Linked DNA regions of Caenorhabditis elegans. The protein of the gene in region 1 interacts with the protein of each later gene in a pairwise test. Each region holds a gene or a part of one and is shown in the gene's direction. Other genes may lie near its edges.

Region 1 (5,030 bases):
TTCAGCAAATTTTCATCCAAAATCATGTCATTCTAACAAGAGCCTATCATGTTGACTATAGGGTCGTGACGACCTGCTCGAGTTCGCCTCGCTCTCCTGTTATCAGAATAGCTATGCGTTAAGTACGCGATGTATTGACAGTCACGATTTAACGCTTCAGTTTTGTAGTTTTGCTGGAAATTTTTGAGTTTTTCGTTTTTTCTTGGCTCAAATCGAGTTTTGCTTTTTTGACGATTAAATAATTTATTCAAACTTAGCGCATTTTTTGACTGATTGTGAGACATGATGCATCGTGACAGGGCTTAATCGTGGCGAGACCCTCTAGTACAAAATTCTTTTAAATATCAGTAAAAGCATTATAATCCATGATTCTATACTTATTTTATGGAATTTTCAGCCTTAAAAAAATCTGAAATTTACGATGCTAAAATCTACTCAAATTATAGTTTCAATCCAAAATTTCTCAGAAAAACTAAAATTAGCATAAAAATGTTTTGTCTGAAATAGCCCTAGATTCAAATATCCCTAACACCCCAAAAAACACCAATGTACATCTCCTCTCCGTAAATATGTAGTTTTACAACCGCCTCTCTGTTGACTGGGAGCCATAAATGTAGATATATTATCTTTCCAGATCGCCTGCCGGCCCCTCCCACCTGATTGTAAAACTGCTCTTTGCTGTGGCGTTTTATCGACTTGTTTTTCTTATATATTCCATTCTACATACCTTAACACATTTTCTTGTATATTTTCTATACACTTTTTTAACTATAAAAAAATGCAACTCCTTTTTCTTCGATTTCTTTTTATGCAAATTTTTTGGCTTAAAGGTGGAGTAGCACCAGTGGGGAAATTGTTAAAAACCACTCCTTTGGTCCGAAAAGTACCGAATATCATAATAAAACTTTTCAATATTTTTTTGAAATTTTTTTATTCACAGTCAAAAAGTGACAATTACTCAGTTTTTGCCACTCATAATTTTGGAAGTCGACCAAAATGTTTTTTCTAGATTTTTTATAATGTAATTTTGTTTTAATTATTTGTATTAAAACATTGTAGGACAAGACAGGGCCGCAACATAAGATATTGCTTTGAATTTCCTCAAAAGCTCATATTTTTCAGAATTTTGGCAATTTGCCAAAACTTGGTATTTAAAAATTGTTAGAGATAACTGTATTTAGACAAAACATAGAACATTTGTATTTCAAAATAGTTCAAAATTCTAGTTTTTGAAATTTTGCGGCCAGACTGACCCCCACGATGCACCATGACAAATTGCAATTTTTTTTTCAAAAATTGTTTTCCAAAGGGGCGTGTTCCAAACATCTGACCCAAGTTTTCCCGTAGTTCTTCTCTCCCCCAGCGGGGTAAACACTGCACTTTACGACTCCGCCCAGTGCTTTTTTTTTCGCAGAAACTGAGAGAGAAAGAAACATCTGCGTCTCTCTCCCCCAGTACGCTCGTTCCCGCCCCCCACCTCGATCTGCCAGACCACACCGACCTGATTCGAGATTCCTTTTCTTATATGTATATGTTTTTGGAGAGGTGATCTTGTTTTTTTTGTTTCTCCTTTGGTTTTGTTCTCTATGCTCTGAACTTTGGTCTCCTACTTTTCTACAGTTTTTTTTTAAATATCCAAATTTTTGAAATAGAGGGTTGATCTACATGACCCCCATGCTTAGTCTACTATAATGCTATATCTGATGTTCCTCCGAATGGCCTGGTAGGTGAAGGCTTTTAGCCCAGTGAGCCGGCTTACCAAGTCTAGGACCATGGTTCTTACAACTTAAGGCCCAAAAAAAGCAGGCATCTGGCCTAACTTCCCCCTCACTAAATCTGTAGTAATATATAATTTCTATCATACTCCATCTTTTTTTTCTACCTCTTATCATGTTGTTATTGAGCAGCAACGCCCTTATATTGTTTGGTATATATATTTGATATAAAACCTCGTAGTAAATTTTATTTTACACAACAACATTTATTATTTACTTTTTTCATACTATTTTTTTTTTGCAGAACGAAAAAAAAATGCTATTCACAATTGAGCAACTGGAGCTCATCAAAAAGCTGCAGCACACCGGGATGTCATCCGATCAGTTGCTCAAGGCTTTCGGCGAGCTGGAAGTTCCAGAGCAGCTTCAGAATAACAACACAATTGCCGCAGCCCTGTACAGCCCACTCCTGGTCCAACATCTCACAACACCCAAATCAGAGACTCCAGTCAAACTCACCGTGCAGACAGTGCCGACACCTGTGAAGTCAGAGCCACAATCTTCAAATTGCTCATCACCATTTGAGCATCCGATATGCTCGAATGCTCCGCGGCCGATTAGGAGTCAGCGAACGCCGATGAAGGAGATTACCACACTGGACGATCCGAATGAGCTGGAGGAGTTTATGAAGCAGGGCGAGGAGGCGTGCATTTTGGATATGAAGACGTTCATCACACAGTACTCGTTGCGGCAGACTACGGTAGCAATGATGACAGGTTAGTTCCCAAAAAAGTGTAGTGGAAGAGTTTTTTTTCTAAAATCTAGGCCGTGACCAGAAATAAATCAGAATACATCCCCGGCGCCTAGATTCCTAATCTCTGCTGTTAGCCACAGTGCAATTGAGTATTACTGTAGTTGATTCCTTCTATGACGTCATATGAAATAAAGTTGGCTAAAGGGAAAAGGGGACTCTGGATCTTAGGCGAGCAATTCTCTGCAGCCGGCACCAGAATCGATCCCCCGGTGCCTGGATATCTATCCTTCGCTGTTAGCCACTGCGATATGCCCCACCCGCGCTGAGATCGAACCGAGGCGTCTGAATTCCTAGGCGAAGTTGCTACCCACTGCGCCATGTCAATCTTCTAAATTTCCAGGAGTAAGCCAGCCGTACATTTCAAAATTGCTCAACGGCAACCACCGTGAACTATCGCTCCGTTGCCGTAAGAACATCTACTGTTGGTACCTGAACTGCCGACGTCATCCCAACAAACTCGCTGCCTTCCTCGCCGATCCGACAACTCGCCTCGAGACGAATGGAGATGGCGAGCTGATCCCACAACGTCGAGAACGCTACGTGTTTCGTCCAATTCTGATCCGAATGCTCGAATCGTTCTTCACACAAACGCCATTCCCAGATCTTCCACGGCGAGTCGAAATAGCGAATGCTTGCAATCACGTTCTGAAGATGGATAAGAAAGGTGTTGGGTTGATGCCAAAGGAGGTGGTCAGCCCTCAAGTCGTTTCGAATTGGTTTGCAAATAAGCGGAAGGAGTTGAGAAGAAGATCCGCTGAAGCTTCGGCCGCCTCCACCTCGTCCGCTTCGTCTTCTGCGTCATCGACTGCTAATCATGATTCTGTCAGTGTGTCCAGCATGAGCCCTCGCGATGAAGAGGTGAGAGTTTTAATTTCTCGGCCACGCTGTACTCTGGGTGGAAGAATTTTTTCTAGGTCTTATAAGGAATCGCCCTCCGGTTTTCCCACAAGTTAAGTCATAAACATGTACCATCTAGAGGTTAAATTTCTGGAGTTTTATTTATTTGAGAGTGATGGTAAACCTGTCAGTCCTTGGCAAACATGTGTCTGTTTGGTCTCAAGGTCTAGGTCTAGGTCTAGGTCTAGGTCTAGGTCTAGGTCTAGGTCTAGGTCTTGGTCTAGGTCTAGGTCTAGGTCTAGGTCTTGGTCTAGGTCTAGTTCTAGGTCTAGGTCTAGGTTTAGATCTAGGTCTAAGTCTAGACACAAATTTCTAGGCCACGAAAATTTCTGCCGTGGCCTAGGATTTTTTAGGCCATATTCTAGGCCATGATCCAAAAAAAACTTTCCCTGTCTCCTCTAACCCATTTTTTTTGCAGACAAGCTCCCGTAACACAACCCCGGAGACAGCAATCTCCCCGTCACCAGCAGTGTCCACTTTTGAAGTGTCCCGCCCGTCTGCCATCATCTCTGCCACGTCATCAACAACCTCGCCAATCTCAATTCCAGCAACAATCATTCCATCAGTATCGCCGTCAGCTCTCGAACTTTTCGCCATGGCCCAACAGCTTGGAGTTCAGCTTCCGGTTCCATTTCCAACATTGCCAACACACTTTTTCCCGTTTCAAATGGCTCCGTTCTACGGGAACCCGGCTTCTATTTTGAAGTCTGAGTGAAGCATTTCTAATTTTCTTTTCTTCTTTTCTACACCAATATCTTTTTTCCATTTATTCAACTTATTCTTCATCCCATGACACGAAAACCTCAATTCTTTCATATTACAAACGATGCTCCGTTTCTTACGCCCTGCCCCACACACGCCCCGTCGTCCAAAAATCAATCAATAATCGATTTTTCATAATATTTAATTTGTTTTTTTTGTGTTTCACTGCTGTTTTAATATTTGAAAAGTACGAGTTTCTTCAAAAACATTTTTTGAATAATATTTGCTTCACACTCCACGCGTTTCGTAATGTATCGCTTGCCCTGAAATTTTGTTGGAAATTCCATTTTTTGTGCAATTTTTGTTATTTTTCAAGCGAGAATAAATATTTTCTAGTTCTAGAATTCAATGAAATACTTTGCAAACGCGCCCCATTGCACTTGACCGAGGGGTGAAACAAGTTCAGTGTTTTCAAGATATTTTTTTTTAAAAACTTGAATTTGGAACAATACAAAAATCTGTAAAATGCAACAGTTTTCCAAATCTTGTCCACGTGGAGTACACAATAATTTTTCATCTATACGGAAAGATTTCAAAATTGGAATGTTAAATTATTTTGTGGTTTCTAGGCCATGGGAAAACTAGGCCATCAAAAAAATTCCAGAGTGACCTGGAAGTTCTAAAACTTTGTTGAAACTTGTCCACGCGGAGTACACTGGTAGTTTATCAATAGAGCGCAAGTAATAATCCCTTGGAATTTTCCTTTCACCACCCCCTCTCCATTTTATATGAGAGTTTTTTCCCTCGCAATTTCCCACGCTCAAGAGGGTGGCCGCCATTTTTTTTTTGAGGGGGGTCGTATCTAGATTTGAAACACGTCATTTATGCTCAAAATGTGCCAA
Region 2 (6,711 bases), 8.9 Mb from region 1:
TGAAGAAAAAAAACGATTCTATTTTAAAAACCGAAAATCCTGATAACTGATAAATTTAAATTTTACATGTTTTCAAAAAAAAAAAACACTAGAAAATTTAGAAAGAGTGCGATTTCGATGAAAATATTCAAGTTTTCAAAATAAAATTTCAAATTTACAAAAAATTAATTTTTAATTTTTTTTCCGAAAAAAAAATCCGAAATATTCTGATATAGCTCTAAAAATGACACTCGAAATTATGAAAAGTTAAATTTTGACCAAAATATTTAAGTTTTTCAATATATAATTTCAAATTTACAAAACTTTCCTTTTTTTTCAATTTTTCGGCTTCGAAAATTTCCTTTTTTTTGTTTTCGAATATAAACCTGAAATCCATGTCAATATTTAATGTGATTTGCCCATTGAGCATGTGAACGAAGTATTTAATTTTTGTAATTTTCGACGCATCTGTGCAAATAACGTATATATGGAGAGAATATAATGAATGAATCTTCTTTCCAACTATAATCTAAATAGATTTTATGGTTTAGTGTGCCGATTAAACAAATAAATACGGTATATCCAATCTCATTTATATGAGCATTTTGTTTCAAAAATTTCGAATTTTGACTATTACTTTAATGGCGTTGTATAAATACTAAATTTTAAATAAAAAATAATTTTGAATTCAGGTACTCTCCGAGGACATCAATGAAGCTACAAATTTATTCGAAGTGGTCTCCCTAATGCCCGTCGTCGAATCGTTCTCTTTCTGTGATCAACTTCGCAAGTTCACATCTGGAATGGCTTCTGCTCAACTTCAATTTTCTCACTGGCAAGTCATTGACGAGGATCCTTACTGGACGCCGTCTACATTGGAAGAAATTGAAGAATTCGGATTGAAGGGAGACAGTCCGAATCATGCAAGAGGATATATGGATGCAGTTAGAAGACGTAAAGGACTGCCAACCGAGGACCTGATTGTGGAGTCGGCGGAGAAGCAGAGGAATTTGAAAAAGAATAAATAATTTTTTTTTAGTTTCGTGATATTTTTTGTTGTTTGAATTTCCGGTTTTGACACATTTTAATCTTGTTGATTGTTTTACTTGTTTTTTTTTGTTCGTTTTTTTCAAAGAAATAATTAAATTGAAATCATCAATTTGAACTTTTCGAAAATATTTGCTCCAAAAATGTTAACTTATCATATAAGGCATATCTGAAACATTTTAATTTCACTCGGTTAACACTGTTTCATTCACGTGTGGTGGTGTCAACGACCTGATGGGTATAGCGTAGTACGGGAGAGAGGGTCGAGAGGAACTTTCTTACAATCTTTCTCTACCTCTTTTCATCTATTCATCTCTAAAGGTCTGCGCCTCTCCTGTTATCGATTGTCAACGTGCTGTGGGTGGTTGGCTGTCGTTGTTTGGTGTCTCTGTCAACTCCATTCTCTCTAGTTTTTCATATTTCTCGACATGTTTGACCAACCACTGTCTCTTTTTTGTCCTTCTAACCGACTGGCCTGCCAGCTTTAGCTTCTTCTTCTTTTTCACCATTTTCTTTTCTTTTTTTTTCGTTTCCTTTCTGTTTGCCAGTAGTTCAGCTTTTTTCCACAATCAAAAGTTCATAGATTTAATGACTGACTTTAAATGAGACGACGCCGGTCCCAATTAGCTTTGAGAGTACAAAGTACGGGGCATCGAACAACACTGAACTACATAATGTAGTCTCTCACTTCCTGTTTATATGGGGTGATTCGCAAACTCCTTGTATATACTCATCATTTTGTTAGTCAACTCATTCCGTTCTCACGATATGGACTACTTTCTTGATGCTTCTAAACATATTCAGTTGAATCAAATTGATGAAGAATCTTCAGATGATTGTAAGTAAGTTTTATAACGGACACATCAAGCGACATTGAAAGAAAGTCAACTTTTAAAATATCGACTTTCATGCCTTTTTGAATTTTCCACCAAACTGAGAACTACAAAACCAATCAGCGACTTGCTCATTGAAATCCAGAAATTAATAGAATGATTTTTGGATGGCTTCTTTGCAAAGTCCACTATATGGGTATATATGGATTTTTATACGTTCAAATAATATGTACATTTTTGAGTTTATTAACCTGGCTCTTCTAAAAGTTCTAAAGTAATTCAAATGCCCTTTCTCTTAGAACGTCATTCTTCGATGTGTCTCCTCATTTTCTACCAGAATTTACCAAACCCTACAACTGGATCCTCGTCGGTCACTTATTCGATGCATTACATCTCCTCGCTCCTTAGATATAGATCTTACGATCTTGGAGAGAAAAGGAACGACACTACTTAGCGCGACCGTCTATCTTATTCGATCCGTCGGACAAGATTGATCAAGAAGACTTTGAAATAGCATCCGCATTTAAGAATACCTCATTGGAGTGAGCAGAGAGAGAGAAAGACTACTGGAATCTTGCCGAACACATCGACCAGTTTTAGAGTGTGCCACATCAGTCCTTTTCTGATCTTCGCGTTTCCTTTTGTTTGCTCAAGACGGATGATTTCTCAATCTTCTCTACTTTCGCTACAATAGCAACACGTTTAGTCCTACACTACATCTGCTAAACTGGGAGGCTCGAAATTTCCGAGCTATCAAGTTTCGGCTTGCCCTTTCAATGTTCAAATTTCTACTTTTATTGGACTCGATTAGGATACTTTATTGAAAAACATTCTACATGAGCTTCGGTCTTTTTGAATATACGTTCAAAATTGTTCTATATTCAGAAACAATAAATTGAAAGTACCAAGTTTGTCCTTCTAGCAGTGGAAATTCTAATTATATGCTGCTGAATTATCTCCACATCCTCACCAATAAGGTCTAATATAAAACCTACAATTTCTGAACGCGGCCCATTCATCTGCCTAGTGGTCAATGCATCTCAATTGTGTGCACTTGCCGGTCCTTTATTATTAAGACAACATGCGTTCCACTCCTAAAGACACCATTGAAACACTATGACGTCATAGTCGATTTGCAATAGATACGGCAAATCGTTTTTTTTAATCCACCGTATCGTCAGGACATTTTACATTAGGCTTATCAATACTTATATTAAATTTTGTCTTATTTCTTGTGTGTCTATCATGTGTTAAAGCCATTGCATTGACTCTGATTTCTCTACTCGTCTGACACTCTCTCTACCTCCAACACTATTTCATCGTTTCCATGAACAAGTGACATTCGTCGTTTCTCTTTCACTTTGAAAACTTGCGTTGCTATCTGTTGTTTGGTTTTTTTCGTGTTTCATTTGTTTTTTTTGTTGTAAAAAGTTTAATTGTTTCAGTCATGGACCTAGTAGATCCTCTTGCGGAACCATGTGCCGTTTGTGGTGACAAATCAACTGGAACCCATTATGGAGTCATTTCCTGCAACGGGTGTAAGGTGAGAAGGGATAAATTATAAAATAATAAAAAATAAATTATATTTAGAATTATGTGAAATTATAAATTCAGTTCTCGTCACGAAAAATGATTTTGGAAATTATATTTTTTCCTTTTTTGAAAAATGAAAAATCTCAGTTTTTGCCACTTTTGGAAGTCGTTGATCAAAAAAATTGTTTCCTTATAATTTTATGGACTACTTATGTTTCAAATATTAATAATCAAACACTATAGGGATTCGATAAGCGACAGGGCTATAGTTTTCTCAAAAAGTGGCAAAAACTGTAATTGCCAGTTTTTACTGTCAATAAAAATTTTCTAACTTTTTTTGTTAACTTTGGTACCACAGGAGTAGTTTTTAAAAAACAATTTCCTCACTTTAAAGCAAAGTAATATTGACTCCACCTACAGTAACCCACGCTTTTCGCGCATGCTTTATTTGAAAACATATTGTTCGTGACGAGACCGAGTACTGTACTTTATGGTTGCAAAAGTTCGTATTAATTTAACTGGTTTTTGAAAGTTATGATTATCATCTCGAACTTTTTAATGATTTATCCCGCATTAATAAAACTCATGAATTTCAGGGATTCTTCCGCCGAACAGTTCTTCGTGATCAGAAGTTCACTTGCCGTTTCAACAAAAGATGTGTGATTGACAAAAACTTTCGATGCGCGTGTCGTTATTGTCGCTTTCAAAAGTGTGTACAAGTTGGAATGAAACGAGAAGGTATTCATTTCTCTTTCCGTTCAATATTTGAATATATCCAAAACACAGTGGCCTCATGTTTTTCACCAGTGACCTCTTTTCAATTTCGTCCGTGAAATGAGATCGGCCGCAAAAAAGATTCTAACTTGAGATATTGATTCGGAAATTTGCCCCGTTAACTCAGAATTTAGAATATATTCTTCTTTCTTTCCTTTTCCTGTCCGTAGATTCCATTTCAAAACACGATATTTCTAAAAAAAAATTGTTTCGTAGTTTTCTATCTAGAAAAAATAATTTTGGAGCAAAATATCGTATCTAATTCTACATACGTTTAAAATTTGGATGTTTTTTCATGTTTAATTCGTTATTTTAAAGAAGAAATAGAGTCATAATGACAGAACATAACTGTTAAAAATTGTATTAAATTTTGAATGATTTCTTTTTTTTTAAATTTACCAAAAAATTATATTGAAACAAAGCCACAATAAACATTACCGAAAAACGCAAAAATGTCGAAAATATAGTAAACTATAATTATATTTCATTCATTTTCGTGGGAATTCAAAAATACAAATTTTAACAACTATTTTCTGTCATTCAGGTCCATGTTCTATCATCTGAATCACATCCACGATCAATTCTACAATTTAATATATTTCAGCTATTCAATTCGAACGTGATCCTGTAGGTTCACCAACATCTGGAGCCAGTCTCAACGGGACTCCATTCAAAAAAGACAGAAGCCCCGGATACGAGAACGGAAACAGCAACGGTGTCGGATCAAACGGTATGGGACAAGAGAATATGCGAACAGTTCCACAATCCAGCAGTGTCATTGATGCTTTAATGGAGATGGAGGCTCGTGTCAATCAAGAGATGTGTAATCGATACCGAAGATCGCAAATCTTTGCAAACGGCAGTGGGGGGTCGAATGGAAATGACACAGATATTCAACAAGGAAGTGATTCTGGAGCATCGGCATTTGCACCACCAAACCGGCCATGCACAACCGAGGTAGTGAGTTGGATGGTACGTAAATTAAGAGGTCACATTGTTTTATTTTCAGGATCTGAATGAAATCTCCAGGACAACACTTTTATTGATGGTTGAATGGGCAAAAACAATTAATCCATTCATGGATCTTTCGATGGAAGATAAGATCATTCTACTGAAAAACTATGCACCACAACATCTCATTTTGATGCCAGCATTTCGAAGTCCCGATACAACTCGAGTTTGTCTCTTCAACAATACTTATATGACACGTGACAATAACACTGACCTCAATGGATTTGCTGCATTCAAAACAAGCAATATAACACCCAGAGTTCTTGATGAAATTGTCTGGCCAATGCGACAACTTCAGATGAGAGAACAAGAATTTGTATGTTTGAAAGCACTTGCATTCTTGCACCCAGAAGCCAAAGGACTCTCGAATAGCTCACAGATTATGATTCGTGATGCTAGAAATCGTGTTTTGAAAGCTCTTTATGCATTCATTCTCGATCAGATGCCAGATGACGCACCCACAAGATATGGAAATATTTTGTTGTTGGCACCGGCTCTCAAGGCTCTGACTCAGCTGCTCATTGAGAATATGACACTTACAAAGTTCTTCGGATTGGCAGAGGTATGAAAGCTTTTCTTGTTTGAATCCGTACATAAATGATAGCTTCAGGTGGATTCTCTGCTCTCCGAGTTCATTCTCGACGACATCAATGATCATTCGACGGCTCCGGTCTCTTTACAGCAACATCTTTCATCTCCGACAACGTTACCGACTAATGGGGTTTGTTTTTAATTATTTTATTAAACTTTTTATTCTAAAAAAATACAAAAATAGCGAAAACGGCCAATGATTTCAGGGAAAAACCGTAAAATTCTCTTTTTAAAAAAGATCTTCCATTTCAAAATTCATATTTTTCAGGTATCTCCGTTAAATCCAGCCGGATCAGTGGGAAGTGTTTCGTCTGTTTCTGGAATTACACCAACTGGAATGCTCTCAGCAACTCTTGCAGCTCCATTGGCAATTCATCCTCTCCAATCACAAGATTCCATTTTGAACAGTGAGCAGAATAATCATATGCTCTAATAATTCCATTTTTTCTCCCAAAACTCTTCACCTCATCTCATCTCCAGTTCTATTCCGAATCTGTGATCTTTCATCTTTTCCCTTATTGTTGTTTTGAATCATTACCCCCAATTTATAAAATAGTCCAGAGCCCAGCTATAATGTACATAACAAAAGAAGAATACCCTTCCGTCTCAGTAGTTGTTTCATCTTGAAACCTGTCTAGGCCATCTCTATATCATATCAGGTTATTGTTCTCGTCTCCCCCAACTCTTCTTCCTTAATCTTTTTTCCAGACGGGCTGGCTCTCGTTTATTCTTGTGATTATTATTGTCAATCAAATTATCAGTTTAGTACTTCAATATGTATAAGAAGTGACTGTCTTGGCATTTCCCATCTCTATTTAGAAGATTCCCTTCTTCCCATTTTCCTTCCTTCTTTTCAAGCGTTCGTACCAATTTATGTTTGCAAAAAGAAACTTTTATTTATACTTTTTCAAAGCTCATCGATAAAATACATTATTATACCATA

The links. The genes of interacting proteins can lie anywhere in the genome.
Region 2: the proteins of hmbx-1 (region 1) and nhr-49 interact in a two-hybrid assay, tested with the Caenorhabditis elegans proteins (2 studies listed by BioGRID).

Annotation. Positions count from the first base shown.
Region 1 is NC_003279.8:987,652-992,681, forward strand, and holds hmbx-1 (Homeobox-containing protein 1), read left to right. Parts: upstream 1-2,019; 5' UTR 2,020-2,031; coding exon 2,032-2,491; intron 2,492-2,869; coding exon 2,870-3,387; intron 3,388-3,844; coding exon 3,845-4,141; 3' UTR 4,142-4,527; downstream 4,528-5,030. UniProt on the Caenorhabditis elegans protein: Transcriptional repressor which maintains cell fate asymmetry of AWC neurons in adults by repressing the expression of multiple AWC (OFF) genes, including srsx-3 in the AWC (ON) neuron.
Region 2 is NC_003279.8:9,867,924-9,874,634, forward strand, and holds nhr-49 (Nuclear hormone receptor family member nhr-49), read left to right. Parts: upstream 1-1,794; coding exon 1,795-1,864; coding exon of another isoform or gene 1,865-1,868; intron 1,869-3,304; coding exon 3,305-3,402; intron 3,403-3,988; coding exon 3,989-4,130; intron 4,131-4,770; coding exon 4,771-5,126; intron 5,127-5,175; coding exon 5,176-5,739; intron 5,740-5,787; coding exon 5,788-5,898; intron 5,899-6,036; coding exon 6,037-6,201; downstream 6,202-6,711. Other genes in the region: K10C3.5 (Elongation factor-like 1), read left to right, coding at 672-1,007.